Arabidopsis thaliana: one gene and its partners. The protein of the gene in region 1 interacts with the protein of each later gene in a pairwise test. Each region holds a gene or a part of one and is shown in the gene's direction. Other genes may lie near its edges. The genes, in order: AT5G28900, WRKY17, AT5G14390 and PDH-E1 BETA.

Evidence for each region.
Region 2: the proteins of AT5G28900 (region 1) and WRKY17 interact in a two-hybrid assay, tested with the Arabidopsis thaliana proteins (one large-scale study listed by BioGRID).
Region 3: the proteins of AT5G28900 (region 1) and AT5G14390 interact in a two-hybrid assay, tested with the Arabidopsis thaliana proteins (one large-scale study listed by BioGRID).
Region 4: the proteins of AT5G28900 (region 1) and PDH-E1 BETA interact in a two-hybrid assay, tested with the Arabidopsis thaliana proteins (one large-scale study listed by BioGRID).

What each region holds. Positions count from the first base shown.
Region 1 is NC_003076.8:10,922,948-10,932,209, forward strand, and holds AT5G28900 (Calcium-binding EF-hand family protein), read left to right. Parts: upstream 1-2,687; 5' UTR 2,688-2,904; coding exon 2,905-3,057; intron 3,058-3,803; coding exon 3,804-4,031; intron 4,032-4,121; coding exon 4,122-4,227; intron 4,228-4,309; coding exon 4,310-4,409; intron 4,410-4,524; coding exon 4,525-4,630; intron 4,631-4,716; coding exon 4,717-4,807; intron 4,808-5,601; coding exon 5,602-5,743; intron 5,744-5,834; coding exon 5,835-5,982; intron 5,983-6,111; coding exon 6,112-6,221; intron 6,222-6,304; coding exon 6,305-6,461; intron 6,462-6,593; coding exon 6,594-6,719; intron 6,720-6,801; coding exon 6,802-6,945; 3' UTR 6,946-6,955; intron 6,956-7,090; 3' UTR 7,091-7,515; downstream 7,516-9,262. Other genes in the region: AT5G28910 (alpha-(1,6)-fucosyltransferase), read right to left, coding at 7,686-8,569, 8,740-8,989, 9,068-9,262.
Region 2 is NC_003071.7:10,435,401-10,441,910, reverse strand, and holds WRKY17 (WRKY DNA-binding protein 17), read left to right. Parts: upstream 1-2,441; 5' UTR 2,442-2,688; coding exon 2,689-3,347; intron 3,348-3,838; coding exon 3,839-3,967; intron 3,968-4,057; coding exon 4,058-4,235; 3' UTR 4,236-4,558; downstream 4,559-6,510.
Region 3 is NC_003076.8:4,635,827-4,643,031, reverse strand, and holds AT5G14390 (alpha/beta-Hydrolases superfamily protein), read left to right. Parts: upstream 1-3,196; 5' UTR 3,197-3,456; coding exon 3,457-3,758; intron 3,759-4,390; coding exon 4,391-4,427; intron 4,428-4,527; coding exon 4,528-4,764; intron 4,765-4,856; coding exon 4,857-4,904; intron 4,905-4,995; coding exon 4,996-5,481; 3' UTR 5,482-5,745; downstream 5,746-7,205. Other genes in the region: AGP6 (arabinogalactan protein 6), read left to right, coding at 6,492-6,944.
Region 4 is NC_003070.9:10,582,582-10,589,811, reverse strand, and holds PDH-E1 BETA (pyruvate dehydrogenase E1 beta), read left to right. Parts: upstream 1-3,131; 5' UTR 3,132-3,334; coding exon 3,335-3,443; intron 3,444-3,564; coding exon 3,565-3,671; intron 3,672-3,750; coding exon 3,751-3,782; intron 3,783-4,489; coding exon 4,490-5,462; 3' UTR 5,463-5,707; downstream 5,708-7,230. Other genes in the region: AT1G30130 (DUF1365 family protein), read right to left, coding at 590-820, 905-1,105, 1,195-1,287, 1,421-1,532, 1,848-2,146; NUDX25 (nudix hydrolase homolog 25), read right to left, coding at 5,991-6,213, 6,292-6,386, 6,474-6,566, 6,892-6,942, 7,047-7,112. UniProt on the Arabidopsis thaliana protein: The pyruvate dehydrogenase complex catalyzes the overall conversion of pyruvate to acetyl-CoA and CO(2).

The sequences.
Region 1 (9,262 bases):
ATTTTTCTTTTTCTGTTACAATTTAAAACATGCACCTAATGTATTATTATAGTTGTCCAAATTAAAAACAATTTAATTTGTTTTAAAAATTTGATTTGAAAAATGCTAAATAATATGTTTATATGACAAACAAATGGATTTTAACTACAACTACTAAGAAGTATAAAACACTCGGCCATATATATACGAAAACCAAACCAATATCTTCACTCTCTTTTATCAAAAAGCTTTTAACCTCAGCTGTTCAATAATTCACCAATCATGGTGACCAGAAACATCGCCTTTTATGGATTCCAATAAGAGGTCTATTATCTGAACGCACTTAGGGTTGTGCTCTCAGAGTTTATCTCGACTTTGATCTTCGTCTTCGCTGGCTCATGCTCCGGAATTGCTTTCAACAAGCTCACTAACAATGGAGCCACCACTCCTACCGGCCTCGTCGCCGCTGCCTTAGCTCATGCTTTAGGTCTCCTTGTTATTTGTTTCTGTTGTCGCTAACATTTCTGGTGGCCACGTTAACCCTGTCGTTACATTCGGTGTCTTTCTCAGTGTGTCAGAGGTAACATCATTCTCCTCAGTGGTATTTTCTACTTGATTGCTCAGCTTTTTGGCTCAGTCGCCGCGTATTTCCTCCTTATCTTTCCCACTGGTGACGAGGTAACATCACTTATTACACTTATTGCCTTACTAAACCAGGTTAGTATTGTTTTCAATTTGATTTTAGTTGTAATTTCGATTATTGGTTTTTTTCTTCTTCTCTATTTTCTTCACAGTTGTTATTAACCAAGAATAGTAAATATTTAAGATTCGTATAATACAATAATGTTTCTATTATATTTATAATTTCAAGCTGAGACTAATGTTAATATTTAGATATTTTAAATAGAAAATCATATGTTTAGTAAATATTTACCAGGTAATGGAAGATTTGTGTTGGCAAAACCAACCAAGTGAGCGTAATTGTAAACTTTAAACCCAATCGCCTATGTCTATAATCATAATAATTTAATATCTTTAATAACACCATACCAACATATATGAACTTCATACGTTAAAAAATAACTTGAAAGAATCACAATCGTTATAATTTACCGTTTATTTTTCTTCCTATCATTTTATAAAAAACAACTATATTTTCTAATTGATCGACACACATTTCACCAGCTAAATTTGTTATGAAATCAACATGTTAGAGGATTTGTTACAAATTTAAGGTTAATAGTGCTCAAGAAAATATTTAAAAATATAGAAAGAGTGATGGTTGAAGTTCTTACTTATGATAGGTTCATATGTTGAATTAATTACTAATTATATTTTACTTATTTTAATAAGTCTAGGTGGCAAGCTCTCATGTGCTGATGTGTCAAGTTGTGGGAGAGAGTTGAGCTCCTTTCATATATATAATTTACGTTATATTTTGCCTCTTAAGTTTTGTAGTGACCATCATAATTTCTCTTTTGATGTCTTTGTGGGCAAATGAGGTAATCTAGAAAGAAATTACATGGATGAAGATGATATAGAACATACGAGATCTGATGAATGACAGATTACTATAGTTTTTCTTTTCCCTAGTTAATGTTGTTAATAAGGGGATAATTTTGCTAAATTTGGTAAAAGTACATGAATTATATATGATATGTGATTTAGTCAAGAAAAATTATGTGAACCTGATTAGATTTTACCATGTCTCAGGTTTTCAAGAATGCAATTTTTATTTCCATGGACTAGTTGAAATAGTTACCTATAAAATATCTTATGACATAAATCGATCTAGATATGATCTACATACAATTAGAACGCTTAAACGTGGAAACTTAATTGATGATATGCTTTATGGTGATCAAGAAGAAGATATCAACAAAGTGTTGAGATACTAACAAAAATAGTTTTTTTTTCTTGTTGTTATAAATATTGAGTCAGACTTTAAGTTACACGTATTTGCAAACTATAGTTTTGTGTTAGTTTTTTTGATATCAACACATTTCTATTTATTTGGCAACAAAATACTTTTCATAAGAGCATTTCTATGTCATATATTATAATTTATGTGATAAAGATAAAGATCACGATTTCCCGATTGACAAAGAAAATCTTATGAAATATGGAAAACATGATATGAAACACATCATATGTTTCTCATTCGTCAAGTATTTTTTATATGATATATAAAACTTTCTTTCTTTCTAGAATCCATGGCTCTTGTATAAGGTAGATTGTCTAACTCGTTACTCTAGATAGTATATTATATGAAATTTGTTTCGTAAATATTTTTCCTTAAGATTGGACTACCAATTATGAAGTAATATTTTAACTAATGTGTGGTTGACAAAATATAGAAAAAATCAAGAATCCAACCACATGTTGAGAAAAAAAATTTCTACTTCAAATACACTTACTTATTTTTATTATTTAGTCAACGAAATATTAATTTATTTATGGACATATTTTTAAAAATACCATAAAATTAATTTTTGTTATAAAACATTATTAGTAGTTTATATTTTTTTGAAAGTACCACTAAAATATATTATTTTCTGAAAATACCACAAAATTACTTTTAAAGTTTTCAAAACTAGATCCTAAACTCTAAAAAATAAACCCTAAACCCCAAAAAACTTAACTCAAACCCAAACATTTAATAAATTATAAACCCTTAAAATCAACTTTTTGTGTTTCAAGTATTTTTTGGGTATCTCTCTAATTTATTTATTTATTTCAGATTGCTCAAAAGAATAAATAAATAAAAGAATTTGGCTGTCTCATTTCCTTGTTCGGAATCGGAGAAGAAGGAAGACTAGATTCGATGTGTTGGTGAAGAAGATCTCGACTTTGTTCAAAATTCCAATTTCGCTCGCCTCAAAGATCATTCTCTCATCTTCTCGACTTTGATGCGATTGATTAAATATGGTGGATACGGTTATTCCCGGAGATATGGCTTGTTTGGATGCAGATTTGTTGCAGCTTCAGGAAATGTCTTCCTTTGTTCTCAATTCTAAACCTGGATTCACTCAGAAGCTCTTCGACCAGTGGCTTTCTCTTCCCGAAGCTCAGCGACAGGTTTCTGCTTTTTCACTATTCTTACACTCATGCTTCTTAGCTTACTCTCTGTTAGTTCGAATCTTTCTTTCGTAATGTTACAATGATACTTCGGTTGCTTACTTACTCTGTGGTGTTGAGGATTGGTGTAAAGTTTGAATCTTTCTTTGATACTGTTAGTGGGTATTACAGTGATGCCTTAGGTGGTTACTGATATTTGGTTGCTTAATTACTCTCTGGTTTCTGTTGAGGATTGGTGTAAAGTTGGGATCTTTGATAGTGTTAGTTATTACAATGATGCTTAGCTTACTGAGAATGGTGTAAAGTTCGAATATTTCTCTGATTGTGTTAGTGAGTATTATAATGATGCCTTAGGTGGTTACTTAGATTCGGTTGCTTAATTACTCTGTGGTGTAAAGTTCGTATCTTTCTTTGATAGTGTTGGTGAGTGTTACATTGATGCTTAGGTTACTGAGATTTACTCTGTGGTGTTGAAAGATTGGTGTAAAGTTTGAATCATTTTTTGATTCTGTGAGTTATGACGTATATTCTTATTTTCTTATGTGAGTATTACAATGAAGCTTACGTTAATGAGATTTGTTTGCTAAATTACTCTGTGGTGTTGAAGATTGGTGTAAAGTTTGAATCTTTCTTGGATTGTGTGAGTTATGACAATGATGCCTTAGGTGGTTAATGAGATTTGGTTGCTTAATTACTCTCTATTCACTGGAATCTCTAGTCTAATCTTTTTCTCGTTGGTTTTCTAGGTTGGATCATTGCTTAAGGATGCTGTAGCTGGAGCTCCTATCAATGTTACTGGAAGTGCATCGGGTTCTAATTCTGCCACTATACCATCTATGTTTCCTGCGGGAAGTGCTCCTCCGCTTTCACCAAGGAGTTGTGGTTCACCCCGTACAACCAAACAGAGAGCCCCTTCTAACTTAGGTTCTACTCTCAAAGTAGTCAACGAGCCTGTTAAAGAGCCTATACCTCAGGTTTCTTTTCCTCTTTTTCTTCCTTCTTTATATATATATAGTAATGGAATGGAGTTAACTCACTGATTTCTTAACTTGAAATGATTCTAGTTTTATTTCCAAAATGGTCGCCCTCCACCAAGCGAGATTAAAGAGCAATGTATGTTTAGAATCAATCACTTCTTTTATGGTCACATGGATGGCTTGCAGATACAAGGTTAGAAGTCAGTCATTTGTTTTCTACTAATTATATTTGAACTGTTTATTAACTTTTTTCTCCATTTTCAATCAATACTCAGAATTCAAGTTAGTCACCAGAGAAATCTGCAAGCTCCCATCTTTCTTCTCCACTTCCCTTTTCCGGAAGATCGATCTCAACAATACAGGTTTTGTTACTAGGTGTGTGCCGCTTCTTCTATGCTTTTTTTTTTTTTGTATGGTGCTTCCTCTTCATGTCTGCATAGTTTACTGAAACACCACCCAGTATAACAGTTTTTCGTGTTTGTTTCTACAGAGATGCATTTATTGATTTTTGGGTAAACGGGAACATGTTGATAATGGATACAACGACCCAAATCTTCAAGATACTAAAGCAGAAAGATCAGAGTTTCATTGTTAAGGTTATTTTCTTTTAAGATTTGCATATTCAGTCAGTCATGAGAGCGAGTTTATTATATTCCAGATTCTTTTCTTTTTTTCATGGCAGGATGATTTCAAACCACTACTCAAAGAACTGTTGGCGACGCATCCTGGGCTAGAGTTCCTGCAATCCACACCTGAATTCCAAGAAAGATATGGTTAGGTCTCAACTTTATTTACATTTTTAGTATCCTAAGTTATCTCATGTTTTCTTTTTCCGCTTGGTATTGCTTGAGTAATGGTGTTTAGTAATTGAGTTTGGTTGTGCATTTTATTCTTTGAAGTATATTGGTAGCTACAGCCCTAGTTGAGAAGAATGAGTGAATAAGTTTGCCACTTTGGTATGATGTACTTATCTAAATCTGTCAGATGGTTACCAGATCAATAGTATTTCTTCTTGATATTGCTTGAGTAATGGTGTTTAGTAATTGAGTTTGATTGTACATTTTATTCTTCGAAGTATATTGGTAGCTACAGCCCTAGTTGAGAAGAATGAGTGAATAAGTTTGCCATGTACTTATCTAAATCTGTCGAATGGTTACCACATCAATAATATTTCTAGTGAAATAAATAATTTTGATAATTGATGCATCGAGATACAGTAATAAATGTGGCATTACTCTGTATGGATTTTAAAATTTTTATAAGATACGGTTTCTTTGTTTTGTTGTGTTAGACATCATCTTATAACTTGCAAATCCATAAAGCTTTCAAGCACGGAATGAATCATCTTCAGTCTATGAATCCTGCAGATATAATCAATATCAGAAAAAATAAATTCTGGAGCTTGTTTATGAATCATGCGTCAGTTAGTAATGAATTCCCGAGAACACTTTGATTGCTTTCTAGATATCTGGAGTCCATATTCTTTGGTATTTGCTGCTACCGGTATCAAAGCTAAATTTTTAAGGATGCTTTTCTGTCTGATACAATTTGTATTTTGCTGAAACAGCTGAAACTGTCACCTACCGAATATTTTATTACATAAATAGATCTGGCAATGGTCGAATTACATTTAGGGAGCTTAAACGGGGAAACTTAATTGATGCTATGCTACATGCTGATGAAGAAGAAGATATTAACAAAGTGTTGAGGTACTGACAAAAATATTTGCGTGCTATTGTTGTATTTATAGTATTGTTTTTGCTCATTTAACATCACTTTTCTATTCACTTTGGCAATTAGATACTTCTCGTATGAGCATTTCTATGTCATATACTGCAAGTTCTGGGAGCTGGATACGGATCACGATTTCCTGATTGACAAAGAAAATCTTATGCGATATGGAAACCATGCTCTTACCTACCGGATTGTCGACAGAATATTCTCCCAGGTTCTGTCTAAAAAACCTTGCTCTTTAATGCCTACTACTTGAAGATTTTATTTATATTGCTTCTATTTTAAGAGTTCTTTCCTCGTTCAAAGTTATTATTGCTCTTAAGATGCATTGGTTTCTTCTCAGGTTGCTAGGAAGTTCACTAACAAAGTTGAAGGGAAGATGGGGTATGAGGACTTTGTCTATTTCATTCTTGCGGAAGAAGATAAATCGTCAGTGCCTAGCCTAGAATATTGGTAAGTTGTGATAGAAGGGTCCGAAAGTTGCAGACAGATACCATTTTAAGTCTTTTATCTGACACAAGTATACGTTGGACTAGGTTTAAGTGCATAGACTTGGATGCAAATGGGATTATTACGCGAAATGAGATGCAATTCTTTTATGAAGAGCAGTTGCATAGAATGGAGTGCATGGCGCAAGAGGCTGTTCTTTTCGAGGATATCTTATGTCAGATGATTGATATGATCGGACCTGAGGTTCAACAATATATCTCTTGTTTTCTTCTTTCTATATTTAGTATAGTCACAGAAGTAGTTTGTGTTCCCAGTTTTCTTTCTGAGTCTTGTGATTTTGTTTTGTGTTTGATTGTTTTTTATTTCCTTCCACAGAACGAAAGCCATATAACGCTGCATGACCTGAAAGGCTCAAAGCTCTCTGGAAACGTCTTCAACATCCTATTTAATCTCAACAAATTTATGGCATTTGAAACCCGGGATCCATTCCTCATTCGTCAGGTACTAATCATCTAATTTACCTTGCTACTTCTTCACACCACCACATGCGTCTTATAACATTTCTAATGTCAAACGGAAACAGGAGCGAGAGAACCCTACATTGACAGATTGGGACCGTTTTGCACATAGAGAGTATATTAGGCTATCAATGGAAGAAGATGTTGAAGATGCATCTAATGGAAGTGCTGAGGTTTGGGATGAGTCGTCGCTGGAGGCTCCCTTTTGAGTTCATAAAGGTAAGTCAACGGAAAACCGTAGTGTCTAGAAGATAAAACTAGTGGAAAAGGATTAGAAAAAAAAGAAACTGAAAAAACTTTGATGTTGATGCTTGTGCAAATGTTATTATTTCATAATATAACTTAATCATGCAGAAGAGAAATGTAAAGTCCCTGAGAAGAACATTTGGAGCTTTGTTGAGGAAGGAAAGTGAAAAACAAACGAAAAGCCGGTAGTATCCTCTGTTGAATACCATACTTAGCTTGGATTTGTTTTCTAACTTCTCTTTATTTGTTAGCTGATTCTACAGTTATATTTATTAACAATCGTCTAGATTTTACAGTCTTCTTCACCTGTATTGCATTCACTTTGCTCTGATGTTTCTATCTCTGGGTGTTACTTCATCATCTCCAGATGTTGAGACTTGTGAATTTCAATGCTATAGTTCCTTTAATTTTTGGTTGGTTCCTGAAGACACAGGATGTCACTGAGATGAGAAGAGGTTGGTTGTGTTATTACTATTGATCTTGAAGTGATGTCTTTTTATTTGTGAAATTCTTAAGGAAAAGCCACTTTGCTCTGTTCAGTTGATCTTCAAATCTTCACATCGGAATCGGTTTAGTTGGTTTGCGGTTGCTCTGAACTGTTTGTCAACCAAACCTCCCTTTATTATACTGAAAACTCTTTGTGCAACAGATGAAGAAAAAAGGAGAGGAGTCTTATTATGTACATAGTGTGGAACTCGCAAAGTTACCAGAACCGATCTTTATTGACACTGAGATAACCAGACATGACTTTCCCACCCGTATTCCTCATACCATCGATGAGGAAACACCAAGTGGAACCCAATGCTCCGACGAAGAAATCAGCTTCTGACGCCATTAAGAAGTTAACCAGAGGATAGTTTGTGCTCATCTCTCTCCCGAGGCTCGCTTCATACTCAGCCATCGACTTATTACCGACTTGTCTTGCCACTTCCGTGTAATAGAATCTCCAGTGAGCATAATCTTTACTTCTGTCCACCACTTCCTTCATCTCTGTAGAGAGCCAGATCCTGTTGAGCTCTGGAAACCGATCTCTGATCCGATCAGCTAAATGCATGTACTCTTCTAAAGCTGCGACTCTCATCTCGCATGCTTTGTCTCCCATCCGTACGTGAACACTCAGCATTGGCCTTGGAAGCCACGGCTTGTGATCCGACCACACCTGTTCCTCAATCTCTGTCCTCATCTTCTTATTCTTCTTTCTCCAATCTCCAGCTGAAAGAACAATCTTGGCAGCTTCTTTTCCAAACGCGGAATTTCGAGCAATGTTCATCAAACCGCAAGTGTATTCTGTTTGATATCTCATCAAGTATCTCACTGCTTGTGCTCTCCACCATCTCCGATCCATTTTCCGATGATTGGAGATTAAACTTCCGTTGATTTCTGTAGTTGGCTTCATATAACTCCAAGGCTTACCCCATTGCTTTGGTATAGCCCCAGCCCAAATCTCCTTTGTGCTATAATTTTGTTTCCCTGTAACAATCCCACTCTCCCACGCTTCTCTCTTCTTCACAATCGCAAAGGCTCGTTTTCGACACTCTTCTGACGTTTCCTGTAGAAAATAGCAAGACCAGTTTCCACGAAAAGAACCTGCATCAAAACAAAAGAGAAACACCAAATCAAATCCAAAGTTTGGTTCTTATATACACTTTTCAGCGTCTAAAACATCTTGATAAGAAGATTAACCAAGAAGATGTAATTTGTGATAGTTGCTGCTATATGTTAGAGTGAAGACTCAAAGGATTAAAGCCTTTATGTACCTTTGCAACCATCATGATCTGCTCGGTTGTAGTAATTTGCAACAAGCACTCGGTTTTCATTTATAGCTATCGCGAGTAGACCAGTCATTCCAGCTATCTGAGCTCCTATTCCAAAACCAGGAAGTGTTTCCCAATCAGCTACAAGGAACTTGAGACTCTTGTTTCCGCAATCCAAAGGATGCTGATGAATCCATATATCTCTTTGCACTCTCCTCGTTAACGGATAATTCTCTTCATCTCCTCCACTGATCTAAAACACAAGCTTTTGATTGTTCATTCACCATACTAATTGCTTGATGACAAAGAACAAGAAAAAGAAGAAGCATACCCAAGGAGGAAGTGTCCAGTTCGCCAAACGTGTATCCAAACGCTCCCTAACTCGAGCCTTCTCCTCACAATTCTCCAAATGTGGACCATTTGGTACATCGGATTTGTTAATACCTACCTTCTTCAAGAAGTCTTCTTCATTTAGTAATAAATTATCCCAAGCAGAGACCAAAAGTTTCACTTCATCTTCTTCTTC
Region 2 (6,510 bases), on another chromosome or scaffold:
TGGAAGTTTGAAATACGTAAACAACAAAAAAACAAAAAAAAATAAAACTTCGTTCGTTAGTACCGTATGAATTCATAGATACAACATATACAAAATAAGTATTTTACCCAACATGTGTCTTCTTTCACTGGTTTGATCTCATTCGTTTTGCATGGGCTAACAAAACAATTATTTCAAATACGCGAAGATTATTATTTCTATGCGACCATTTTATAGAAAAGATAATTTAGATAAGATATAAAGGAGACATTTTTAGAGGAGATAACATTGAAATATATAGTATAATATATTTTTAGAGATTCATAAATTATAAATTTAGAAAAGGACATTAAAATTTGATATAGAAAAGGAATTTAAAAGTAAGTAAAAGTTTACAAAATCAGAAATGAAAAAATAAAATGCTTTTAAAAAAAATGTAGACGTGCACGACAATCATATATATTAGTCGGTTAGGTCAACGATTCCCATGTCGCTAATTTATAATGCATTCCGTTGACAAATATTTAAAAATGTTTCAATTATACATCTTGAGGTCTGTTTTTGCACACATAACACGTCATATATCATTGACAAAGAAAACACGTCGTAATTTTCTTTTTCTTTTTCTTTCATGTAGTCTTCTTGGCTTAAAAGAATTCAGCTAAGTAAGTATGGTTGATATTTTCTTCTACAAGTGATAAAACTTTGGAATTTTTGAATAAGTATAATTACAAGAAAACACTGCATATAACAACTACAAGAAAACACTGCATATACCAAAATTATCGAAACATGTATATTCCGACAAACTGAAATCACCGGAAAACGGTGGTGTATTGAAACAAAGAGTTGTTTTAACTGAAGTTTGAAAGTAAACAAAAGATTAAAAAGTAATTTATAGTAATGTTAATATTTACTCATGTTTCTGCTTTGGTGATTAGTAATAAATCTTCTAAAATCTATATGCCATTTTATAAATGCGATTAAAAATTTACCAATTAAACCTTATTTAGAAAAATGTAGAGAAAACTTCAAATTATCTCCTCAAGTAGGATTAGATCGAGCTGCAAATTGGCTCTTTTTATTCATTTAATTTCCTCCATTCCTAACTGTATTGGTATTGTTTACTTTATTTCTATAAGCAACAAAAAAAAAAGAATCTTGTGGACAGGTGACAATTTATGAGTCAGCCAGAATTGCCACGTGTCGGAAGATCAGTTGCCGTGGTAAAAGGTGTTTTTTAGATTCTCAAAAAAAAAGTAGTTAAAGAGAATAATATCAAAGAGTCAACTCCACAGTTCACAGATCCACCGTTGGATCTAACTTTTGGATTATCAACGGCCCAGATAATAGTTAACCGGAATCACTCGGTTACCGAGGTAGTCAATAGTTCTGTGTTTTAAAAAGAAATGCGTCCATGTGATCACTTTTATTTTATTTGTAGTCAGCTTTTGTTTTCCTACTTTGTCGTTTTTCTTTATCGCTGTTCTCAACTAAAGACTTGTAGACTATACTAATAAGATATAGTCAACGATTGTCGCTGTTATTATAGCCTTTAATCTCTATTAATGATTGTTAATTGTTCCACAATCTGTGTAGATTAATTAGGTAAAATTAAAAGTCAAGAAAAGATTGTTTTCAATTTACTAGTTTTCCAGTCAAGACGTTTTCTAGAAGGCTATGAGGTAAGAAAAAAAAAATATATATTAGGTGCAAAGTTAATATGGGAGTCAAATATTATTTTCAAATAATTATTATTGTCAATGCACTGCAAAATTAGTAATAATTCTAGAAAGAAATTGAAATAATAAAAATATGCTGCAAACACGAGTTTGGTATGTGTGCACCATATAATATTGACAAGTTGTAGTGTTGGTTGAAGCTAAAAATAACACAAAAACATAAAAAGAACATGAATAACGCCTAAAACTTAACACGAATAAAATAAAAAAACATAAAATATATTATCAAAAGTCAAAATCACAAAAGAAATTAATACCATTTTACAATTAGCTGAAAATTTATTCTATCAAAATCCAGTCCTATTAAAGAAAAATATGTGATTTGAGATGAAATTAATATTACATATTTTGATTTGGTTCAAGAATAAATTATGGATTTTGGTTAAAGACCTTCTAATATTCCAAAGAAACAAAAAAAAATCAGCCCAATTGTTCATACAAATAAAAACAATTCATTACCTTTAATTTTAAATTTATTGACTTGAACTTGAAGACATAAGATACCTAATAAAAGAAAAAATAGATATGAGACTTTAAAAAAGCTTTATGATTTTCTTTAGACACCATCCTTTAATGTTTTTTATTTGACTTTTTGTTTCTTTGAAATTCCTTTACCACCATTTTCCCCAAATTCAAGTTTACGCACAATGATTCCTTTATTTTAAAGACACGATTATAAATTCTTGCTTTGCACAAAAGAAGACCCTACATATCTCACAACTCAAGGAGACCAAACTTTGATTACTTTATTCCATAGAAATCTTCAACTCAATCTCAGCCGTTAGATCTAAAGCACCGATTTGACTAAACTCCATCTTAAACCTACTCAACCGGTCACTCGGTCACACCCATAACCCCATATATCACGCCAACGCCATTCTTTTTTCTTCCAGTTTCGCTCTCTCATTCATCAAAAAAAACTTGCACATCTTCTCAGATCTTCAAGTTTCTCCTCTGGTTTCTCATCATGACCGTTGATATTATGCGTTTACCTAAGATGGAAGATCAAACGGCTATACAAGAAGCTGCATCACAAGGCTTAAAAAGCATGGAACACTTGATTCGTGTCCTCTCTAACCGTCCCGAAGAACGTAACGTTGATTGCTCTGAGATCACTGATTTCACAGTTTCTAAGTTCAAGAAAGTTATCTCTCTTCTTAACCGTTCCGGTCACGCCCGGTTTAGACGTGGTCCGGTTCATTCCCCTCCTTCCTCCTCCGTTCCTCCACCGGTGAAAGTGACAACTCCGGCTCCCACTCAGATCTCTGCTCCAGCACCGGTTAGCTTCGTTCAGGCAAATCAACAAAGCGTGACGTTAGATTTCACTAGACCGAGCGTTTTTGGCGCTAAAACCAAGAGCTCGGAGGTTGTTGAGTTTGCTAAAGAGAGCTTTAGCGTATCTTCTAACTCTTCTTTCATGTCTTCTGCGATCACCGGTGATGGAAGTGTCTCTAAAGGCTCTTCGATCTTTCTTGCTCCGGCTCCAGCGGTGCCAGTGACTTCCTCCGGGAAACCGCCGCTTTCTGGTCTTCCTTACAGGAAGAGATGCTTTGAACATGACCACTCTGAAGGCTTTTCCGGCAAGATCTCTGGCTCCGGCAACGGCAAGTGCCATTGCAAGAAAAGGTATTGTTATTACTCCACAATAAATTAATCATTTGTTTGACTAGCCTAGTAGTAGTTAATTGTTTGGTTCGATACGGTCTAAACCAATCGCTCACGGACTCAGTGAAAATATATCACGAATTCAGATTTCAAAATTCTTTTTTTGCCTCGAATTTGTCAATCATGAACAAGTCTACTAGTTAAATTAACTAGTCTCAGTAAAAAATAAAGAATAAAAATCCGGGTTTAATACTTTGTAGACCGGTTTGGTACTATCTAAACCAATCGGTCAATGTATTTAGTGAAAGTCAACGACAGTAACTTAAACCAAAGTGCACGCCTGACAAGGACAAGTTAGTGGGTGCTGTCGTTTTGTATAGGGAAAGTTTTTACGTTTTAAAAGTCTTTGTCTGCCCGTTGACTTTTGCTAACCTGATGCATGTTCACGTTAGTCGTGTCAGCGCACGTTAAATCATTTCACTAATTACAATGTTTTATTATTTAATTAACAGCCGAAAAAATCGGATGAAGAGAACCGTGAGAGTACCGGCGGTAAGTGCAAAGATCGCCGATATACCACCAGACGAATATTCATGGAGAAAGTATGGACAAAAACCGATCAAAGGCTCACCACATCCACGGTAACTATCGTACACCATCGCTATCCACCGTTGATTTATTTGTGAAACATTGGAGATCTAACGGTTGTGATTTGTTTTTGTTGATTTCAGGGGTTATTACAAGTGTAGTACATTTAGAGGATGTCCAGCGAGGAAACACGTGGAAAGAGCTTTGGATGATTCAACGATGTTGATTGTGACGTACGAAGGAGAGCACCGTCATCACCAGTCCACGATGCAGGAGCATGTAACTCCTAGCGTGAGTGGTTTGGTGTTTGGTTCGGCTTGAAGAATTAATTAGTTTGGTAGTTTTGTAATATTTTGAGAAATAGAGGGGTTGGTTTTGTAATTTTTTTTCTATAACAAAATTAGTTTTAGATTTTTTTTTAGTAGTCTTTTGAATGGATTTTAATCTTACTACCGAGAAAGAAAAAATTCTTACTACATTTTCATAATTTCTTGTTTGATATATTTAGTGGTGTCATGTAAGAAAATGATGTTTAGCAAAGTAATTGGTATATAAATGTGTAGGCATATGTATTTAATGATATGGTTCGTAAAGTTACCATTACTCTGTTTGATCTAGTTATGATTTGTGATGGTTGATTTAGGGGAAAAATGTCATTTAATCCCCCAACTTTCAAAAAATGGCCATTTTATACATCAATTTCATATGTGGCCGTTTAAAACATGAACTAAACGTTGACTAATTTTTAAAACATGATCTTTCGTTGACCAGGCCAAAATAGACATGCCGTTATCAGTCATTAACGGAACTTCTAACGTCCGTTATCATTCGTTAACTTTATTAGTCAAGTTTCAAATTGTGGCCATTTTAAACATCAACTTCTTATGTGGCTATTTAAAACATGAATTAAACGTTGAATACCATTTAAAACATGAAAAATTCGTTGACCAGGCCAAAATAGACATGTCTTTATCAGTAGAACCTAGAAACCCGTTAATGACTGTTAATCTGTCCAAAATAACGTCGTTCAAGAATAATCGAAAGAACATAAAGATTTTTTCCATATGAAATCTCCATATCAAAAAGTTTTAAGCAGAACCCAAGAACATAGTTTGATAAAGAGATAATCGCAGTGCCAGTAATTGGAAGCAAATAAAGGTGTTTTCGTTTATATATTTGTTTTAAATTTTAAAAGGAATCATGGAAGCAAATTGAAGACTCATTATAAGATTGTTCGTCTTGTTTGAGCGGTTGTAAAAATAGATTTGGGGAAGTAGGGTTTCATTTAGAAAACAATCCTGATTTTCTTTTGATTACTCTCAAAACAAAGTCGTTTTAGGGATACTAATAGAGTCGTTAACAAGTGATAATGAATGTTATAAGTTCTTTTAATGAATGATGACAACATGTTTATTTTGGCTTGGTCAACGAATTTCTCATGTTTTAAATGGTAATCAACGCTTAGTTCATGTTTAAAATGGCCACATATAAAGTCGATGTTTAAAATGACCACAATTTATAACTTGACTAATAAAGTTGTTAACGGATGATAACGGACGTTAGAAGTTCCGTTAATGACTGATAATGGCATGTCTTTTTTGGCCTGGTCAACGAATAATCATGTTTTAAAAGTTAGTCAACTTTTAGTTCATGTTTTAAACGGCCGCATACGAAATTGATGTATAAAATGGCCATTTTTTAAAAGTTAGGGGATTAATTGACATTTTTCCCGTTGATTTAATGGAGGGTTAGACTTTTGGAATGGGGTTGTTAATGCAATGTTTGACTATTATGTAAGTTTATAGAAAGTCAAAAAGAGATTTCAATGAGTTGTTGGGAGATATTAGATGTGGAGGTTGAACAATATGAATTAATGCGGATTTGAGGGTCAACGAAATCATTATGATGTTGGAAGACAAATAATTTTTGGAACAATATTAAGGAACATTTGCGCTATGGAACATAAGTTCTCACTAAAGGTATGACACATATTTGCATTTGTTTATGTGTATTTCAAAGTTTTGATTAATATGTCATACTTGGTCATAATTGAATACTTTTTGCAGTGTTTGTTTATGAGTATTTTGAAGTTTTGTTCTATTGGATGTTTTGGATATGATATTGCCCCTCCAGCTTCGGATCAGATTCCTTTTCAAATCGATTTTGTGCTTGTGGTTGTTACTAGAAATTAAGACGATTGAGATCTTCACATATCTAATGCTACTAGTGTTTATAAAGTGTTGTTACTTGGTTGATAATTTGTTGATTGTGGCTTAAAAAGGTCTTATCTATGGGAGAAGGATATTGAATTCTGTCGTAATTTTGAGAAGATGGGAGAAAGAGGTAAAACATCTGACATAACTTAATTTGTTTAGTTTCTCATACGATTTATACAATTTCAGTTGAACTATTTTGTGTCCATTTAGCATAGAACACATGTTTAAAAACGAATTAATGTAGATTAGACACCTATTTATATGGATAGTTCCTTGTTCGTTTGATTTTAAGATATATTTTTATATATTTAAACGAATTTACGTATGGTTTGAGTTTATAAATAGGAATTAAGGTTTATTGTTTTACATTTAAATAAAAT
Region 3 (7,205 bases), 6.3 Mb from region 1:
TTGTTGCATCCTACAGAAATCTCTCATACTACACACTTGGAATCAAATCAGTGATAACAATGGAAATATGACTATTCTCCCAATATGATAACATGTAATTTATTCTTCTAGAATTTAACATATCTAATTATTAATGTTTAATAATTATTTAAAAAAATATATATATATATATATAATAAAAAATCCAGTACTATTGGATTAGATATTAAATTTAACAATATCATATATAAGCTATTTCAAATTATCTTAAGATATGAAAAAATAATTAATTAAGCATGTATATAACAAGCTAAAACTTGTATCTGCTTATGATATCCATATAGTCTTATTAGTATTTAAAAACATGATTATTACATAATCATATGATTTCACTATAATTAATAACTAGACTATGACAAATGTTTTACTTGTTTTTTTTTTTTTTTTTACTGTTTGCTAATAAAATAGGAATATTGCGAAAAAGATTGCACATACTTTGTCTAATTCTACTATTGACATAAACAGTACACATTTTTTTAATAATAAAAAATAACTATAAAAGATAACAATATATTTAGAATTGACAATCAAAATGGTAAAACGGCGGTATGCAAAACATTATTATTTTTATTATTATTATTATTATTATTTATGTACAATCCCAAAACATTGTTATTTAATAATAATTTTCATTGGGAAAAATAGTGTTAACAAAAACTAGAACACATAAAAAAAAAAATTGAAATTATGAAAACAATAATTTTTTTTTTTTGATACTGAGAATAAAATAATGTTTTATATATATTCTTGTCCTCTCAAATGATTTCATGGTTAACTAGCTAGTAAAATAACAAAGGAAAATCTAAATACTTCGTGTAAACATTTTTTTAAGAGAACCTCGTAAATTTATCGAGTCAATCAGACAAAATAATTGAGAATGCAGATCGCAGAAGAACAAAAAAGTATATAAGAGGAATGTAAGAAACTTTTATTTTTTTTGTCAAAAGAGGAATGTAAGAAACTAAATGATGAAAAATTGACGCACGTGTACGTAATTTGGGACCCTCATGCAATAAGTTTGTTGGTATAAATTTATGTTCTTTCAAAGTAAACTCTCTATCTTCGTAAATGACACTTTTCGTTATCTTTTGACTTTTATTTACATTCGTTGTTGTTTTCATCTATAATTCGCTTTTCATTCACTTGATCGCATGCTATTCACAAAAATAACAGCTAATTAAAATCCTATATAATCGTTTGATTATAGATATGTGATGATGTACTCAACAGACATAAATTATTTATATATATTAAGATTTTTTTTTGTCGAAGTAAGCAAGTAAGACCATCTCCATCGGTGGTTTCTCACTGAAAAACTCCAAATAAAAATAAATCAAAAATATGAAAATAATAATTTTTTAATCAGTTTTTCTCAGAATCGTTTTTGAAATGAGAAACTTGGAGAAACTTTCTCTCTCTTCCATATGTCACCTTGTTATTAATTTCTTTTCTTTGTTATAAATAAAATTATCTATACTTTATAACATCAATTAAATACTTTATATGTTTGTTATTTTTTTTATTTTTACTTTAAAAATTCATAAAATTAAATTATCTATATAACAAGCTCTATCATGTATATGTTTAAATTATATACGAATATTATTTAATTGGTGTTAGTTAAGCATTAAACATAATAATAACTTAAAAATACAATAGCTTTTTTTAATTAGAAAACAAACATTTAAAATTTTCTATTTTTATTTTGCAACATTCTCGGCAATCGAATTCGACTTCGTGATAGAGATATGCACCAACAACTAAAAGATGACCTAGTTGAGCATATATGACAAAAGTTTGGTGCATCATCAAATGAAGAGTAAAACCATAATAGATAATATAGTTAGCTTTGATTTATGTTATCATGGTTTTATATGTAATTTCTGTTTAATTTATATATTTTTTCTATTTAATTTATGTTATCATGGTTTTATATGTAATTTTATGTTTAATTTATATATTTTTTATTATGATTTTATATGTAAAGTAATGTTTAATTATGTTTAATTATGGTTTTAAAAATAATAAAACTATTTAATAATATAATTTGTAAAAATAAATAATTGATATGTTTGAAAATATTGTAGAGATATTAAATTTAATATAAAAACATATAATAATATGTTAATGTTAATGAGATACTCATACCAATGGAAGCACAATTTTAATATAAGTTTTTCTACTTAAATTAAACATAAACATATTAATAATATATTATGAGATACTCATGAAGTATCTCACCAATGGAGATGCTCTAAGATTCTTCTTCTAACAGGTTAAACAAAAAGTATGTGAGTTTCACTTGTGTTCTTTTAAGGTTCATTTTTCACAAGCTTGACTTGTTGCCACCACGACGTTAAGGTTTTCCTCGACGAAGCCCATGAGTACAACTTCTTAGGCCCATTATATAACAAGATTTGTGTTATTAATTAATTTATCATTTTCAGAATAATATCGTTTTCCAGAGGTTTGATTTTTTCTAATAGCTTTTTTTTTTCAACAACAGTTTGTAAAATAATTTTAAATAGTATATATCATGAGAAGAAGAAAAATAGAAATATAAGAAATTACAGCACAAGTTTAAAATTCTTTTTACGAATAATAATAATTATTAAATTGATAAAATAACATTAAAAATGATAAGCTGTCACACAAGGCATGAATGAGTGAAGACCCACCACTCCAAAATTTGCTTTCCGCTTCTAATTTTTCATGGACCCGCATTAAGCAAACCAACATACATACATACCCCTTCCTTATTCTTTTATTTTTCTTAACAATAAAAAGCTTACTAATATTATTATTCATTCTTTTGTCATCTTATATTTATATTTTTATCGTTAGTTGTTGATATTTATTTCTTGTCCAATTAAATCATAACATTTAAGTGCCTTTCATGTTCTCTCACTCTTATATTTCGCCATTCCTAGCTATAAAAATACACATGTTTATGTTTAATCATAAGCTTTGATTTATCACTCCACCAACGCTAAATTATTACTCTAAACCCCTTTTTATCTGCAAAAGTAACATTATAAAAAAAATGTAACTCCATTGACATATAAACTCTAACTCGTCTGCGAATCTCTATAGTTTTAATATCTTAATCTCTTTTAATTTCAGATTGCATAAAAAAACATTTTTCAGGGAAAGTAATCTTCAATTTTCTGTAGTTAAAATATGGCAATTTTAAAATAATAATAAGCCAAAGCTCGAAACTTTAATAAACAGTTTTTGTTCATTCTCTTGCTTTACCATTTCAAAGTGCCACTTTTTCTTCCTAAATCCTCTCTCTCTCTCTCCGTTCCCGAGACAAGCAAAAGCTTCAATCTCAAATCTTTCAGCAGCTACAAAAATGTTCTTCATCTAAAAGAGACTGTGAAGCAGAGAGAGAGAGAGAGAGAGAGAGAGAGAGAGATGGGAGGTGTGACGTCATCAGTTGCGGCGAAGTTCGCTTTCTTCCCGCCGAGTCCGTCGTCTTACAAGCTGGTTTACGATGAACTGACCGGACTTCTTCTGATGAACCCATTTCCTCACCGTGAAAACGTTGAAATCCTTAAGCTTCCGACACGTAGAGGAACAGAGATCGTGGCTATGTACGTCAGACATCCGATGGCTACCTCTACTCTGCTTTATTCCCATGGAAACGCCGCCGATCTGGGCCAGATGTATGAGCTCTTCATCGAATTGAGCATCCATCTTAAGGTTAATCTCATGGGGTATGTTAAAGTTTTAGTCCTTTTCTCTCTAAGATAGCTCTGATGATGATGATTAGCTCTTCTGCTCTGAAATTGTGTTCTGTTTTGTATCTGGATTTGATCAAAGTCATAGACTTTTTTTAATGGCTATTTAGAAATTTTTTATCTGGTCCCTTGTGGGTTTTGGTATTAATGGTGTTTTGCTAAGTGAAAACGAATGAATTTGGAGTTTTTCTTTCTTTTTCTGGAGATTTGTTTATTCTTCTTGGTTTCTTTTGATACACTGTTTGATTGTTCTTTTGTGTTATTATGATTTTTCTCTGTATCGAGTTTTTGCTGATCAAGCTTTTGGTTGAAACATTTATATACATTTACTTGTTTTTGAGTCTATTGTTCATTGTCTTTTCCCAAATTTTGATTTGTTGTCTTCTTGTGTGTTTCTCTCTGGATAGTGGATACAACTTGGTTGCGTTAAGATGCTTAAACTCTTTCTATGTCTCAGATTGTGTGGAAACTTTAATTAGCTCACAATAATCTTTATGAACCAATGCATCTCTCAACTTCAGATCCTTGAGAACATTAAAAACCAAAACAACTTCATAGCTTCTTGATTCAGCTCTATAAATGTTGCTTCTCTGCTTTTGTATTTGTAGGTACGATTACTCCGGGTATGGACAATCTACTGGAAAGGTTTGTCATTTTGAGAATCGACAAGTAGAGATATCGATAATGATTTTACCCGATTCGAGTGAAAAACTAAATAACCGAACTTGTTTTCGTGTGACTGCAGCCAAGTGAGCACCATACATATGCTGATATCGAAGCTGCTTATAAATGTCTTGAGGAAACCTATGGAGCAAAACAGGAAGACATAATCCTTTATGGCCAATCCGTTGGAAGTGGACCTACATTAGATCTTGCTGCTCGGTTGCCTCAATTAAGAGCTGCTGTTCTCCATAGCCCGATTCTTTCTGGTCTAAGAGTAATGTATCCAGTGAAGAAGACATACTGGTTCGACATCTTCAAGGTATTAAATACATCATTCTTAGATGGATCATTTTCGATTTTCTTGCTTTCCTCTATCTTTTTCACAGTGTCCACTTTTAACAATATTTGCAGAATATCGACAAAATACCTCTTGTGAATTGCCCGGTTCTCGTCATTCACGTGAGTTCCATATTCATTTTACTCTCTTTTCCTTTTTTTCAGTTCGAAAACTGAGTGTATATAACTCTTTGTGGTTCTTCTCTTGTGGCAGGGAACTTGTGATGAAGTTGTTGACTGTTCTCATGGAAAACAACTATGGGAACTCTCTAAAGAGAAATATGAACCGCTTTGGCTCGAAGGCGGTAACCACTGTGATCTAGAACACTATCCTGAATACATTAAACACCTTAAGAAGTTCATCACAACCGTAGAGAGAGATCTCTCCTCGAGGGCGAGCACGGCCCAATTAGAGAAACAGAGCAGCGATTTGGAAATGCCGAGGCAGAGCGTAGATAGAAGAGAGAAGCCGAGGCAAAGCGTTGATAAAAGGGAGAAAGAGAAACCTCCAAAGGGTCCTTCAAAGAAGAGTAAGCTGAGAATCACGTTCGAGCAGCACTTAGATCGGACTAGGAGAAGCGTTGACTTCCACGAAAAGGCAAGGAAGAGCGTTGACCATCATCAGCATCATCAGAATCATCATCAGATTGAGAGAGGAAGGAAGAGTGTTGATAGATTGGATAGAGTACGGTCTGAGTAAACCGGAGAAAATCTACCACACGTACATAAGTTGTTACAGAACAAGAACATTTGATCTTGATCTTGATTGGCCATTCTAATGTTTATGGTTTTTTGTTTTGATTTGTGAGTTATTCTCTAGTTTTATTTGGGTGTGTCATTTCTTGAATGGTGAAGCTTAAATCTTAAGCAAACAAATGAGAGAAATTAGGTCTTTACAATAACCTGCTACGTAATTTATTTGACCCAACTTTTACTCGTAATATCATGCTTGGTTTATGACTCGAGTCTTGAAGAGTAGAAAAGGAAGAAAATTCGAACATTGCAAATAAAATAAAGAGGAATTAAAAACTGCACTGCACATCAAACGATGATGACAAAAAAATGATGCATATAACACAAACAAAAAGATAGAATTAAAGAGAAGTTGTCTGTTTTCTAGCTCTGTCAGAACATTAACAAATGTCTTCGAAACCGTAAGCCCCAGAAAACTTCACCATGCAGAAGTTTGTATGTTTTGGACCTTTGGTAATGACTTGTGTGTCAGTTGTGTCTTCATATTGGGGTTTTAATTTGGGCTTAGTTCGAAAGTACAGTAAACTCTTTAAGATTGCCCAAAATGTATTTTGAGACTCTAATTCTAATTTTCTGCAATACAATCAATGAATCAAACAAAAGTCAAAATCTCAGTCTCAGCTACTAATATTAGTATTCAAAAAAAAAAAAATTGTGTACGAATCCATAAATAGAAGAATTGGTTTCTAGTCCTGTTTAATTTTAAAGTACTTTCTAAAAGTAGATTATAAGATTCATCGTTTCTCTCATATCCATCAATTTCCCTAATTTTTCTCATCTTCAAAAACATATAAATTCACACCCCCATGTCTTATTCTTACATCCTAAAGCTTTTGCAGTATTTCTCCATAGAATAAGAAAAATAAAACAAAAATAAATAAATAAAAAATACTGCTTTAGCTTTTGGAGTATCCTCCTTTTAATCTCAATAAAAAAACTATTAAAACAGAAAAAAAAATGGCACGTCAATTTGTCGTTTTGGTTCTATTGACTTTAACTATCGCCACCGCTTTCGCCGCCGACGCTCCCTCAGCTTCTCCCAAAAAATCTCCATCACCCACTGCCGCACCAACCAAGGCTCCGACTGCCACAACCAAGGCTCCTTCAGCTCCAACCAAGGCTCCAGCCGCCGCACCTAAATCATCTTCGGCCTCTTCTCCAAAAGCATCTTCTCCGGCTGCCGAAGGACCCGTCCCCGAGGATGACTACTCTGCCTCTAGTCCTAGCGACTCTGCTGAGGCACCTACCGTCTCCTCCCCACCGGCTCCCACCCCCGACAGCACTTCCGCCGCTGATGGACCAAGCGATGGACCCACTGCAGAGTCACCCAAGAGTGGTGCCGTGACAACTGCTAAGTTCTCTGTTGTCGGCACAGTCGCCACCGTCGGCTTCTTCTTCTTTTCTTTCTAAGTTAAGTCGTCCACGTTTTGGTTGGATGGATCAGAGATTTGTATAATCTTTTGAGTTGAGGCCGTAAATTTATTTTATATATACGTTTATAAATCGAGATTAATTGGAGTAAATATAAACCTAAATGTCATTTTGAAATTTGGTTAGAACAAATTTTCATATTTTGTTTAATAAACTTATTTTTTTTGGAAATGCTTATGATTTGTGTGGTCTAATGGTCTTTTAGTTCCTATTGTCATGTGTTGTGAATTAGATATCATG
Region 4 (7,230 bases), on another chromosome or scaffold:
TCAATATATACCATCGACTAATCACAACCTAGTTTAGTAACACAAGTTTTTAGACCTAAGGGTAAGAGTATATATCGTATACATATATACAAATTTTTAACTTGCAAGAAATCAAGTCACATGATCACATGAAGACTTATCAACAAACAGAGGTTAGGATTTTCGGAGATGAGAATTATTACAAACGAATCAATCAAAATGCAAAGTTGATTTTTCTATTAATCAACAAGGTTCACTTGTGTTCAAGCCAAATTTTAAACAAGCCAACTAAATTTGAGACGAGATTTTCAAATGATTTATACCAATCATATCATTGGACAATGACCGTAAATTCCGAAACTCTTGATGATCTGCTACCCCCTAAATCAAAAGAGAAAACTGATGATTCCAAGGATGAAAAGAAGCCTGCAAAATCTTTCTCATTGAGCAAAGACCAAAAATGGGTGTAACTTTCATATTTCAGGATTTGATAGAACATAATTTGTTGTCATTTTCAGGTATGAAGAATAGGTTAGTATCAGTTCAGGTTTTTAAACATTTTTAGACAAGTGAAAAGATAGTGTGTTTATTACCTTGAGAGTGTATGTATTCATGACCAAGGCCAGTTCGCATCTCGCCACGCAAAGCGACATCCTCCAAAACTACTACTACAACCATCTCCTTTTAACCCATCAAATTTGTTGGTTTTATCAGAATCAGACCCATCTAACCCGGGGCAACGAAGTTCTTGATCGCGTTTCGCTGCTTCCTCCCTGTATGATGGGTTCGAGTATCTCGGGTGTTGAATGAAAGGTACACTCTTCCACCAGAGTTGAAGTGCCTAAACAACGAAATGACGTTAAGTTGATCAACGTTTTGAGTATTTGTACTTAAAACGATTTTTGAGTAAATATAAGTCACTTACATGCCAATAGATCCATATCGCAACCTTATGAGGCATCAACCAGAAGAAAACAGCGGGATCAGACACCCGCGATAGGGGTATCCTTTTCGCCTTTAATGTCGCAGAGAAATAGTTACCGAAATGAGGATGTTGAGATGCAATGGAGACAGATAAATCATCTCCAGGTTCATTAGCTCTGATTTTCCAATTCCCAAGCATATCCTAAAAGGTTATTTAACCTCTAATCAATCACACAAAACTGATAAAACATCAATCAAAGAAGTTAATAATATCAAAGAACAACAACATACCATGAAAGGACTGACTTGTAATGATTTAGCAACCAAGTCAGATTCAGGGTCAAATACAAATGTCACTCGTTCCCCCCACGGCGTATTTGTAACCTACAAAATTCCTCTAATCAGATCAATAGATAGAGACACTAATACCAATAAAGCCAATGCACCATAAGGTTTCATTACTATGAGAGACATAAGCAAGAAACAGAGGAACAACAAAAACCTCTGATTCATATACCTGAGCAATGCATTTACTTAAGCGCTTACTTGACCCTTCCAAGTCATAGCAATAGTATAAACTCAATGGGTTTTGTTCATATCCAACGCTTGGTGGTATTGTCAATAGAAATCTGCACCACGAAAAAATTACAGATTCATCAAAACTACTTCCTCTATCACAATTACAATTTCTGAACTGATAAAGATTCATTCACCTAACAATTTCATTACAAAAACAACCAAACTACACTGTTAGAGAGCAAAACATAACCATAAAACCAAACAGAAACTAAAAAAAACACTCAATTTTGCAAATCTAACTAACTCCTGATCAACAGAATCTTTCAAATCTTGTTTGTTCCTCAAAAACATTACGCATTATAAAGTTTCAGTTCTAGGTATCAAAATCCAGATTCTTCCGATCTTGGACGAGTCAACAAACTTACATTGGCCCGGTGGTACGAGAAACACGGCGAGCTTCGTCGGCGGAGAAATGATCCGGCGGTGTGTTAATAGCTTTGTCGAGGTCAAAGAGTGCGTAACGAACGGAATAACGGAAAGAGTGGCGGACAGGACGGAGACGGTCGTGCCAGACTGTGCCTTCGTAGAAAGAGACATTAGGATCGACGGCGGCGCGTGAAGGAAGGAGACGGTGGAGAAGGAAGCGAAACGGGAGGAGAAGAGAGAAGAAGATGGAAGTGATTGAAGTGTAGATGATTGAACAGAGGAGAAAGAGCAATTCCATATCTCTACCTCTGTCTCTCTATCTCTATCTGATCTTTTTCAAAAATCAGAGATTGACATTGATGACCCTTCAAATGCAGAGGTTTGGTATATTTATGATTTAATGCCACGTTTAACGATAAGTATTAATTTAACGAGTAATTTACTTTTATTATTTTTGAATCTAATAATGCCGTTTTAAAATGCTATAAGTTAGTATTAATTTAGAATTTGTCTCATAGAGGCCATTGTTATCTTCAGTGACAGTATATTATTGTGTTGTGTGGACCCAAAAGCCAAAAAGGATTGTTTTATTTAATGTTGCAACCAGTTATTATCATAGGGTATTTATCGTATAATCGTGGCTGTTGCGTGGACGTTACTAAACCACTGTATATAATATGTATTTGCATATGGATAAATAATTAAATCATCTCTCAAATTTATAAAAATTTGCATTATGAGAATTCACAGAACTAAAACTCGTAGAATGAAAACTGCATACTAGAAAATCAGATAATAATTTTTTTAAAAAAAAATCAGATAATAAAATAAATAACTGCATACATTTGATTGGTAAATTTTTTATAATCGCATTAAAATAATATTTTACCATATATGTGTTACAAATCAGAGTATAAAATATACAAAACAATATATTGGTAGAGACTAGAGAGACTCAATGTAAATGCTTTAGTTACGTTTATATTTCGCTTATGAAAATTTGTTCTTTGTGGAGAAAAAAAAAAGTTCTTTTTTGACGAAAATTTGCTTACTGGATAATACTGATCTATTAATTACTGGGCCAAGACACTTGAGGCCCATCAACTCCTAGATCGGTGGAAACCTCAAATCTCACAGTTAACGTAATTAGGTTGGTCCAGGTGGTTAAGCAAACCCAGTGATAATCCACAAATCATATACGTACACGTGCCAATCCAGTCGTTAAGTAACACGTGTTAAATTAACATTGGTTGTTATACAATAGAGAAGCCACATGAGTTCGATGAAAACAATGTAAACATGTGGATTTGATTGCACAACAACAATACACATAATTTAATTCGATTTCGACAATTTCATTTAATTCTTCGATTTCTCCGCTTGTCACTGTTTCGTATCGCCATTTTCTGTTTGCATACACTTGTATATATTTATATTAACAGTCCAAAATTCTTCGAAATTGTCCCGAGCTTTGAGCATATAAAAAATGTCTTCGATAATCCATGGAGCTGGAGCTGCTACGACGACGTTATCGACGTTTAATTCCGTCGATTCCAAGAAACTCTTCGTTGCTCCTTCTCGCACAAATCTTTCAGGTTCGAATTTTATTTGATGATCGATCTGCATTCTCTGATTTCGATTTCTGGTGTTTTGGAGCTTCTATTGAGATGGATTTGTGAGATCTTAAAGCAGTTTCGTTGTTTGATTTTGATGCAGTGAGGAGCCAGAGATATATAGTGGCTGGATCTGATGCGAGTAAGAAGAGCTTTGGTTCTGGACTTAGAGTTCGTCACTCTCAGAAATTGATTCCAAATGCTGTTGCGGTAATGTCTTTGTCTCCGATTTTGTGATTTTTATGGTTTCTCCTTCTAATCTCTAATGATGTACGTTTTTGTTTTGTAGACGAAGGAGGCGGATACGTCTGCGAGCACTGGGTTTGTTTTGCACCTTTTTAGCTTTGCAAATTCGATTTTGATTTTACTCTTTTGTGCTCATTGAAGGATTTAGACACTGCTTGAACAAATCTCTAATTGGATCTTTCATGTTCTGTTCTAAATGATTAGATTGTTTCAGTAGTTTTATTACATTTTAGTGGGGATTCAAAGTTGGATAACGATGAGGAAGTTTTTAACTATGTGCTATTGGGTGTGGTGATGTAGGATCCTAGCCAGTTCTAGAGTAGTCAAAACACTAATCTATAGTTGATAGTGATGGCAAAAGCTTAATGTGTTGCATGTCTGCTTCCAGTAATCATTCTAGTGATGCCTTTGGTTGTGCTTATGATGCCAAATGTTTAGGTTAAACCGTTAAACCATTTAGTTCATTCCCATGAACATAGTTTAACTCTCAAGAACATTTCTGGACATCATACGGCAATTGGTTAGGCTTCTGTTACATATTATGCGACTTTCCATTTAGTGAATGTTTCTGTTAGGGGTTTGTGTGTTGTCTTCATTTTCACATAAGCAATCCATGATGATGTCACCATGGCATTTTCTTTCATGTATTAGTCGTCACAAATAGCACATTTTCTTTATCTACCTTTAAACTTCCATGCTCATATTCAATATAAGTGTCATGATGATGCCTTTTTTTTGTCAAAAATACAAAGTGTGACCAATCTTCTCGTATGAATTTACAGACATGAACTATTGCTTTTCGAGGCTCTTCAGGAAGGTCTGGAAGAAGAGATGGACAGAGATCCACATGTATGTGTTATGGGTGAAGATGTTGGCCATTACGGAGGTTCCTACAAGGTAACCAAAGGCCTTGCTGATAAATTTGGTGACCTCAGGGTTCTCGACACTCCTATTTGTGAAAATGCATTCACCGGTATGGGCATTGGAGCTGCCATGACTGGTCTAAGACCCGTTATTGAAGGTATGAACATGGGTTTCCTCCTCCTCGCCTTCAACCAAATCTCCAACAACTGTGGAATGCTTCACTACACATCCGGTGGTCAGTTTACGATCCCGGTTGTCATCCGTGGACCTGGTGGAGTGGGACGCCAGCTTGGTGCTGAGCATTCACAGAGGTTAGAATCTTACTTTCAGTCCATCCCTGGGATCCAGATGGTTGCTTGCTCAACTCCTTACAACGCCAAAGGGTTGATGAAAGCCGCAATAAGAAGCGAGAACCCTGTGATTCTGTTCGAACACGTGCTGCTTTACAATCTCAAGGAGAAAATCCCGGATGAAGATTACGTCTGTAACCTTGAAGAAGCTGAGATGGTCAGACCTGGCGAGCACATTACCATCCTCACTTACTCGCGAATGAGGTACCATGTGATGCAGGCAGCAAAAACTCTGGTGAACAAAGGGTATGACCCCGAGGTTATCGACATCAGGTCACTGAAACCGTTCGACCTTCACACAATTGGAAACTCGGTGAAGAAAACACATCGGGTTTTGATCGTGGAGGAGTGTATGAGAACCGGTGGGATTGGGGCAAGTCTTACAGCTGCCATCAACGAGAACTTTCATGACTACTTAGATGCTCCGGTGATGTGTTTATCTTCTCAAGACGTTCCTACACCTTACGCTGGTACACTGGAGGAGTGGACCGTGGTTCAACCGGCTCAGATCGTGACCGCTGTCGAGCAGCTTTGCCAGTAAATTCATATTTATCCGATGAACCATTATTTATCATTTACCTCTCCATTTCCTTTCTCTGTAGCTTAGTTCTTAAAGAATTTGTCTAAGATGGTTTGTTTTTGTTAAAGTTTGTCTCCTTTGTTGTGTCTTTTAATATGGTTTGTAACTCAGAATGTTTGTTTGTTAATTTTATCTCCCACTTTCTTTTATTTAGACCCTTAGAATTTTCTTTACACTTTATATGTGTTCATGGTGCTAGTTACAATAAATTTTAACCTGAGAATTTTCTTTACACTTATTATAAACACATACACAACTCATTTCCTTCTGAATCCAGACAACGACTTTATTACAATGACCCCCATGTTAAAATAAAACAAAAAAACTTTCTACGTACCAATAACCAATTTACAAAAATGAAAGTAAAAAACCCCTAGAGAAAGCTTTTGCATTCCAAAAGGGTTCTACTAAAAAGAACCGCCCAAAAAAAGAAAAACAACAGTTAACAAAAAAAATAAAAAGACAAACATTGGTTCTTGGTATCTTATATCACCACTTGGCTGATTTACATTTAGCAGCTCTTCCTGTGTCGTTTAAGAACGAACCAAAAGTCTTGATGACTTCTTCATAGGTTGGCCTTTTGTAATCCACTGCTTGCTCTACCACTTCTTCTGGCTTCGCCCATTTCCACTCCGCAAACTCTGAATCCGCTTCGTTGTTCGCTAGATTGATCTCTTTCTCGTCCTCATCGTTCCTCAGTCTCACTAAATACCTGTAGGAATTATTAAGTTTCAGAACAATGAGCCACATTCTTTGCTTTCACGAAATTAAGTAGTATCGAAGGGCTTACCATTTCTGAGCTTGACCATGCCATTCACCGCCCCAAAGACGGTTAACTTTTGCTTTTACTGCTGGTGGAAAATCATATGTCAACCAATTTGGGACCTGTTTAGACATTAAAGAACCCACATTAGTAAATATATCCTCTGATTCATATCGGTTCGCGCAAGTGTTAACTTAAATGTTAGCGACCTCAGAGACGATTTCAGCTGAAACAACACCAGTTTCTTCTTGTAACTCTCTCATGGCTGCTGACTTTGGATCCTCCCCATCTTCAATGCCTCCCTGTAATATCCTCAGTTTAGTGAGCTATTCAAACTCAGAGATAAATGCAAAGCAGAGAAAACAGTCTCTAGACTCTTTGACTACTTCGAAAATGTTGATTACTTCACCAATCTAGAAAATATTCTCTATCAAATTCTTGACCATGTTTTCATTAGAGTGGTGTTAAACATTAGTAATTTGCTACGTTTTCTCTAAACAACAAAAGTTACAACACCATGAATATTTTGAATCATTGGCTTTTTGGCCAATAAAAGGACATAGAAACAGAGAAAAAAATATCGAAAACTCGCAAAACTTTATGTCATAGTGAGTGAATAAAACACACCTGTGGCATCTGCCATGCTCCTGGAACATTCAATCTAGAAGCTACAAATACCTGTGAATGATAATCATGGTCAATAAACTGAGTACTATTATTACCAGTGGCAAATTAAAAACAGTAATTAATCAAAGAGCTTAACTAAATGATGAAAATGTTACCAGATTATCCGAGTTGATTAGACAAACACCAACATTGGGACGATAACCAGGTGGTAGATTCTCCATTTTTCTGAAACAAATCACCACTTAACCATTATTTAACAGAAGAAAAAGATAATTACAAGAATTGTTTTGGTATCATTATTGTTGGTTTACTGTTTTTAAGTACTTTGCAAAACCAAAA